Linked DNA regions of Bombyx mori. The protein of the gene in region 1 interacts with the protein of each later gene in a pairwise test. Links are inferred from orthologs where the notes say so. Each region holds a gene or a part of one and is shown on either strand. Other genes may lie near its edges.

Region 1 (4,384 bases):
GTATTTCAATATTATTACAGACTACTAGGAGATGTATGGAAATGGTAGTGCAAGGTAGAGGGGGAAGAGGTAGGGACGGTGACATGTCATGGTACTTGGAGAACACCGTGAAGCAGAGAGCTTAATCAAAAGCCAGATGGTCAGTTGCAAAAAAAGATCCCTGCAAATGTTTTGGGGATTAACCATCATCCTTCATTGTCCTTCAATTAGACTAAGTGTTTGTTCCTTTTAAAACAATTAGAAAACTTACATTAAGTCAGATAACATTTTTAATATTTATATTGATTGGATTCACTAAGACTCCTTTTTATTAAATTACTGCAATTGAGCTAACCCCATTACTCTCATGGTTTCCACATTAATTTTATAATGAGAGCCAAACTATCACTAAAGTAAACTCACAAGCACTAACCGCAGCCCATCTAAAAATGTTTTTACATCATCTTGGCCCCATAAGCTTTTGGTTGCCGATCGGAGTCTTGCAAAGTGCCTGACGATAGCTCTGACCGCAGCAAACTTTTCTGCGTTCATTAGACTCGATAATCTCTCATCTTCTATTCCTTCTAATTCTTTAAGAGACACTGCAATTAGAATTATAAGATAAGCTAAGAAAAGCTAATTTAAATTGCTTAAGTTGCAAGATCTTTTTTAATTGCTACACAATCGCTCTAGTCCGTCTAAATAACATGAGTACATATTATATTAAGATATCGTGTGATACATAATTAGTTTAGCAATTTGTCTTAGACATTGGTCTAAGACAATTTTTTTTTTATATATCATATTTTTAAATTACTATACTTATGTGTGTAATCTTATTATTTAATTTAGTCCTTTTTATTTCAGGCTCAAGTTGCCAGATGTCGCTCTTCCAAACAATCCACTTGTTAAAAGTGTACAATGAAAATATAATGCTTAAGGAATCCATGGTATATTCACAGTTTCTAGTAATAATCTGGAGTTTAAGCATTCTTAACTATAATTTAATAATAATCTATTCTTATTTTTTCAACCTTCTTCTTTATTAGTACTTTTCTTTAAAATTGTCAATGGGTGCAATAAAAAAAAATGTGTACATACAAATTACGAATGGTCTTATTTCCTTTTTCTGTATTTCCGGTGTGACTTTCGAAACTGCAGACCATTGTGATATATTCTCTGATATGAATTCTAAATGCTCAGACATTTCTATGAATTATTCACAATAAAACTAAAAAAAACAAAACTAAATGCAATTGCACATTACTTCAAAACAAAAATTAGTTACTGTCAAAATTATTCAAACTGTCAAAGTTAAGGTTTGACTTGGACAAGTCTGTAAGAACTTTTTTAACGTAATCGACTAAAAGCTTAAATCGAGGCGAGTATTGGCCGATGTCGTTTTTGCCAAATCACAACTCGGAGTTACAACACACACCCGTGAACGTCACTAATTATAATTCTTAATAATTCTTATTATTAAATGGCCGAATACTGACGCTTGTTTGTCTTGGTAAAACAATTTTTAGTTGTGATCATCTCTGCATACGCGGTTTTGTTGAAAATAAGATCAAATATAAGATGGCAGCAGTTCAAGGGCCTCCCGGTAACAAACAGTGGCCTGCGCGACCAGGACTACAACATCAAATAAGCCAAAACCCAAGCATGAATTTAACTCTCAATAGGTCTATTAATTTGTATCCGCTTACGAATTACACGTTCGGAACTAAGGAGCCGCTGTTCGAGAAAGACGCGTCGGTCCCGGCGAGGTTCCAGAGGATGCGAGAGGAGTTTTGTAAAATCGGAATGAGAAGGTAAGGTTATGTTAGGAAAGCCGATGTATGAAACGACCCATTATGATTATAAAGAGTACCCACTATACATGTTTGCTTTATTCATTATGAAAATAATAAACATACATATCACTTTACTTACCTAACCATATTAGAACTTCATTAAATACAAAATCATACAGTTGATATCTTATTAGGCTTTTAAATAGCTCTCTCATATACTTAGCCAATCTAGGTCCACTAGTGAAAAGAATCGACAAAAAAATCAGGGCTTGTACTGTAAATATAGACTTAACACTACTAATGTGTGAAGTGTTGTAAATTATGGCAGGTAGATTACATGACTTAAACATGTATAGATGAAACAGTTTCCCTAAAACCTTTTTGCACGCTGGAAACTTGATATTATTACTCGATAACACAGTTTACATTTATGTTTACCTCTAGTATTGATATATAATAATAATAATAGCTGTGGACGAGCCACATTATAATCAAGCCCTTACCCACTTTCTTCAACTGAGTTTATCACATGACTAACCTACAATTAGGGGGGCTACCTATTGAGTGTTGATAACTCTGTTATGGTTCACTGTGGCTTCATCCAATTGCGTTAATGAGTTGTGAGTTTGATGGGATTTAATTACCGTTGCAGGTCAGTCGAAGGTGTGTTATTAGTACATGAACATGGTCTCCCTCATGTGCTGTTACTGCAACTCGGCACTGCGTTTTTCAAGTTGCCCGGTGGAGAATTGAATCCTGGAGAGGTATATCTAGATTAAGGGATTACCTTTATACTATAGAACTACAAATATAGAAGTCAGCCTAGATCCTCTTGTAGACAGAATAGCCTCTGCTTGCATCTTTAAAGCGCAATTTAACTGGGAATAATCATACGATAATATCAGATCCTTCTCAACTTGAGCAGCCTCTTTGGGGTTTGCAACTCAAGAGGCTGCCAACAAAGTTAAATATAGTCATCATTGTCGATAATTTTTGAGTATTATATCATATAGAGCAAAACAACAGAATATGCTACTCTAATAAGAGCTATGTCCCATTTTCTGTTGAGCAGTAATTGTATTCTCTAGTTTTTCAGTATTGTAATAATAATTATGGTTTGTAAAGAATCTAAATTATGTAGTTGTATGTTGAGTACCCATCAAAAGAGATGCACATTCAAGTGTTTCAGATGTTCCTAATAAAAACAATGCGAGACTACATTTTTTTAAAATTCCAGGATGAAATTGATGGTTTGAAGAGGCTTCTCACAGAGACTTTAGGCAGGCAAGACGGTGTCAAACAGGAATGGCTCATTGAAGACACAATAGGTTAGTGATGCTATAACAGTGCTTGAAAAACTGGTGAAAGCTTGAATTTTGACTATTTTTACGTTTTAGCAAAAAAAAAATTTTATGTTTTAAAAAAATGTAATAATATATGTAAACTTAATATATGTAAACTTTCTGTAAACTTACAGGAAACTGGTGGCGACCGAATTTCGAACCACCGCAATATCCATACATTCCGCCTCACATCACGAAACCAAAGGAGCATAAGCGCCTATTCCTGGTTCAACTGCAAGACAGAGCTCTGTTCGCTGTACCGAAGAATTACAAGCTGGTTGCGGCACCATTGTTTGAATTGTACGATAATGCTCAGGGATACGGACCTATAATATCGTCGTTGTCTCAGAGTTTATGTCGTTTTAATTTCATTTATATGTGATAAATGGTATTTAAAGTGAAGTTTGATGAAGAAAGTTTAAATGGAATGAGTTTCTGCAATACTTCTGCAGCTAGACCACAACGAAGCTCAGTGTTAGGCAACTATGGATATCACCTTCCATAATATGTTTACCTAAAAACATCCAATTATTGTTCCAAATCCATAGGACAATTTAGGCTTTCTTCATTATTGAACTTGTATAGATATATGCAAATGGACATTTTTTCTATAGTTTAAGATAAGGTTTTCTATATTTTTGTCAATAAAAGAAAATTGTCATGTTATATCTAAATAGTTATGTGCGACAGAAAATATCTGAAGTGAGTGTTGTTATTAAGAGATGCATAAGATGTTGCAGGGACCGGTATGGATCTTGAGATTTCCCAGAAGAGTCGTATTGTTTTATAACTTGGGGGACTTGGGACAATGTGTACAAAAGGGGTTCCTTAATTTTTTTGACAACTTCAATTTGACAATTTATTTGTTTTTTAACTGCAGTCATGATTTATATAACTTTGATTTGCTTTAAAAATACCTTCATACTTCAGTGTGTTTGAAGATCTTATGCCTTTAGAACTGCTAGCTCACAGATATTTGTTGAGGGATATGCAGAGAAGGGACTTCATTTAATGAACGAATTGTTGAGTTGTCACCATTCTCTCATTCCCAAACTTGGAGCATCAGAAAGAGATAAATTCACCAGCGTTCAGACCACACTCAGCATCCAAGATCCAAGCTGTTCTTTGTCCTCTTAAATTGACTCAGTTGCAGACTGCATACCAATCTGATTATTCGCAATTATGAATTAGGTCAGCTGTTATGATGCAATTTAGACCTTACAGCTCAAGAAATAAAACAGCAGTTTGATTTAATGCTAAATGGCA
Region 2 (3,304 bases), on another chromosome or scaffold:
CGCTGACTACTCCCCGAATCCTGAACACGCAGGAGCCAGGCCAGTCACCGTCGACGCCCTAGACACGTCCTTACGGATCCATCGGATTCAATAACCTTTGCATTAGATTCAGCTCAAACACTAGGAGCAGGCTTAGTTACCCCGTTGGCGTGCTTGTCGAACTCAACAAAGAAGTCGACGTGCAACCTAACCCATGCATCAGCCCGCTGAATTTCTCGCCGGATCTTCTCAGCGGGTCACGGTCATAGATACATTCGCGAAGCAGTTGCTCTTGATTTTCTAGGTCTCCTTCGGGGGCGCTCGGGCAGCTGTTAGCAAATCCCACCCCTCCTGGCTGAGCCTTTGCTCGCCCAACTGTCCTAGTGAAAGTGGAAAGGCCTCCGGGCCACCAGTAATCTTTCAATCATAAAAAAAATTGGGCCTTATTATGGGTTCATCTACCAACAATGGCCCAAAACGGTGGTTGCGATCAGAACGCGATTTGGCTGTGCCCCTGGCATCGCTGACTTCTTAGAGCCAGGGAAACCATTCATCAGATGAGCCGCATGCCTGTTAGTTTACAATGACAATAAAAGATAATTTATTTTCATCTTGACTAAATTCTATTCCACATCGAAAGAACAAATCATATTAAACTAACTATATAACTTATAGACCAGTCCAATTTAGATTGAAATACATTAAAACTTTATTAGGTAGGTATATCTTATGCGTATAAAAAACCGAGGGGCCTAAATCAAATATTAAGAAGTGTGTTAATGTTCTTAAAAAGCGAATAAAATTTATTTTAACTTTAGTAAAATGATAACGGTTTCAAATATCATTTTAAACTAGACAAAATAACGCAGATAAAGTATTTAAAAACTCGATACACGATATATAAGCCTATGAATTTTTAACCTACATAAATTCGCTGACCCTCTATATTTTGTCCCAACACAAAGCTTTCATAGAATCCGAATAAAGTGTACACGGTACAACTGGAAGAGATTGATTGCATGCTATTCGTTTTTTTTTTGTGTTATTCCAATAGTTTTATTAACTGCTACATACATAAGTTTTATAAATAGTTTTAATGATTAAAGAACTTGGACTTTTTGGCAGGAACGCGAGGAGTGAAGTTGTGTGTTTTTTTTTATTTTGTCTATTTAGTGTTTCTTCAAGTTTAAATGTGTCAGGCTGTATGTCGGAGATTCAGTTAGTTTATTACAATATGCCGATAACTTGGTTATTTAAATGTCTGACATGTCTTTTCCTTCGTTTTTTATTATTCATAAAGTGTAAATAATTTAAACGGCGAATTATAAAAATCTTATTACTTGACACATGCATAACCGTGTCGGAGCCAAAAAAAGAAGAACAATCCTGGTCATTAAAAATTAGGTATGTATTTAAAAAATGACATTGACAAAATGAAATTATGACATTGACAATGTGACAGTGACAGCTCAGAAAACTGCTAATTCGAACATAACCTCCTTTCCTGTTTCTCTTTGTTGTCAGAACTCAAACGTGCTTGTTCTCTCTTGAGCTAAGGCCTACGGCAACTTGCACGTTCAAAACTAAAAATGGTGTCAAAAGCTGAATTAGCATGTGTTTACTCTGCTCTCATCCTGGTTGATGATGATGTTGCCGTAACTGTAAGTAATCTTAATATTTGTAATTTTAATATTTTAAGGTTATTGAAGAATGTTTGTGTGACTAAATCCACGAACATCACACAAAATAGCTACAAAATCAGAACAACCAAGCATTTGTTTAGCATAGTAAACGTCTATTTTGTTAAAAATTCTGTATATTTTCCATTAATCTTAACTATTCATTTGGCGCCATATCTTTCGTATACTTACTTGTAGTTTTTTTTTCTAAAGTAAATATTTTTATGTTTTTGGAATCTAATGACAGTTTTATTGAAATAGGGTGAGAAAATTTCCACCATCTTGAAAGCGGCGGCTGTAGATGTAGAGCCATATTGGCCAGGTCTGTTCGCCAAAGCCTTGGAAGGCATCAATGTCCGTGACCTGATCACCAACATCGGCTCTGGAGTGGGTGCTGCTCCGGCCGCTGGTGGAGTGCCAGCCGCTGCTGCTGCAGCCGGCGCTCCGGCCGAGGAGAAGAAGGAAGAAAAGAAAGAGGAGGAACCCGAGGAGTCCGACGATGACATGGGCTTCGGTAAGCAATCCATACATATACATGCGATATTCAAAGTTTATTTTTGTTCAGATTTAAGTAGTAATTTATATTTTTATTTTTAAAGTTTTTTTTCCTGGGTAAAACATCTTTAATCTATTAAAACAAAAGTCTATAAAATGAATAACAGTTTCTAGTAAACAAATAAAAGGAGTACTTAATTAGAATGATTTGTTGAAAGATTATTCTAATAACAAAGACAAATTTTATCATAATATGTAAACTTCAATGATGTTTGATCATGTATTAGCTACTGAATCTTTTGATTGAAAATTTTTTACTGAGTATGTGGAGAATTGTTTAGGTCTTAATATTTGTAGTTAACATGTTCATCAATTTAATGTTATTTTCTGTTTCAGGTCTCTTTGACTAAGAAGCTTTATGAAGAAATAAAAATATTCCATTTTGTCTATTGTAAAGCTTTTATGTTATAAGAAACTGACTTTATTAAAATAAGTTAAATAAAACCATTGTCTTTTTCCCTTTTTCTATAATGGCATACGTTTACATGAATAGCAGTGTAGGACTAGTGTTGCCTATGAGCTTGCCTACACATTTAGTGAAATTAGCATAACCAGATTAGCCAATATATAGGTGATTGAACTGTAGAGATATTTGTAAGAAATAAAGAAATTTCATTTAATATTTAATTTAATAACATTACTACTATCATAGAATAAATTAGATTTTCAGCCCCACATAGCCCTCTGTACTCCTGAGAGTTTGTTGTAATCCGCTAGATGCCTCCAGACTATACGACTCATGCGCCATTCCTTTACTATACCTCTGGGTCTGAAATCAATTTCATATTAAACTTTTATTGCTCAGATTGGTGGACGAGCTCACAGGCCATCTGGTGTTAAGTGGTTACTGGAGCCCATAGACATCTACAATGTGAATGCAACACCCAGTTTGAGATATAAGTTCTAAGGTCTCAGTATAGTTACAATGGCTGTCCCACCCTTCAAACGGAAACACATTACTGCTTCACGGCAGAAATAGGCAGGGTGGTGGTACCTACCTGTGCAGACTCACAAGACGTACCACTAACTATCTTACATAATCAGTTAAGTCAGATGAAAGGAAAATTTTAAGTATATCTTGTAGGTATTTC

The links.
Region 2: the proteins of cleavage and polyadenylation specific factor 5 (region 1) and RpP1 interact in a two-hybrid assay, tested with the Homo sapiens proteins (2 studies listed by BioGRID and IntAct). The link is inferred for Bombyx mori from reciprocal best matches to the Homo sapiens genes NUDT21 and RPLP1.

The regions. Positions count from the first base shown.
Region 1 is NC_085117.1:3,159,090-3,163,473, forward strand, and holds the start of cleavage and polyadenylation specific factor 5, read left to right. Parts: upstream 1-1,463; 5' UTR 1,464-1,560; coding exon 1,561-1,793; intron 1,794-2,427; coding exon 2,428-2,539; intron 2,540-3,012; coding exon 3,013-3,103; intron 3,104-3,252; coding exon 3,253-3,500; 3' UTR 3,501-4,384. Other genes in the region: uncharacterized protein LOC101742918, read right to left, coding at 413-581, 1,081-1,186. UniProt on the Homo sapiens protein: Component of the cleavage factor Im (CFIm) complex that functions as an activator of the pre-mRNA 3'-end cleavage and polyadenylation processing required for the maturation of pre-mRNA into functional mRNAs.
Region 2 is NC_085121.1:13,786,977-13,790,280, forward strand, and holds RpP1 (ribosomal protein P1), read left to right. Parts: upstream 1-1,418; 5' UTR 1,419-1,568; coding exon 1,569-1,640; intron 1,641-1,919; coding exon 1,920-2,255; 3' UTR 2,256-2,549; coding exon of another isoform or gene 2,550-2,563; 3' UTR 2,564-2,657; downstream 2,658-3,304. Other genes in the region: mRpS14 (mitochondrial 28S ribosomal protein S14), read right to left, coding at 2,880-2,982. UniProt on the Homo sapiens protein: Plays an important role in the elongation step of protein synthesis.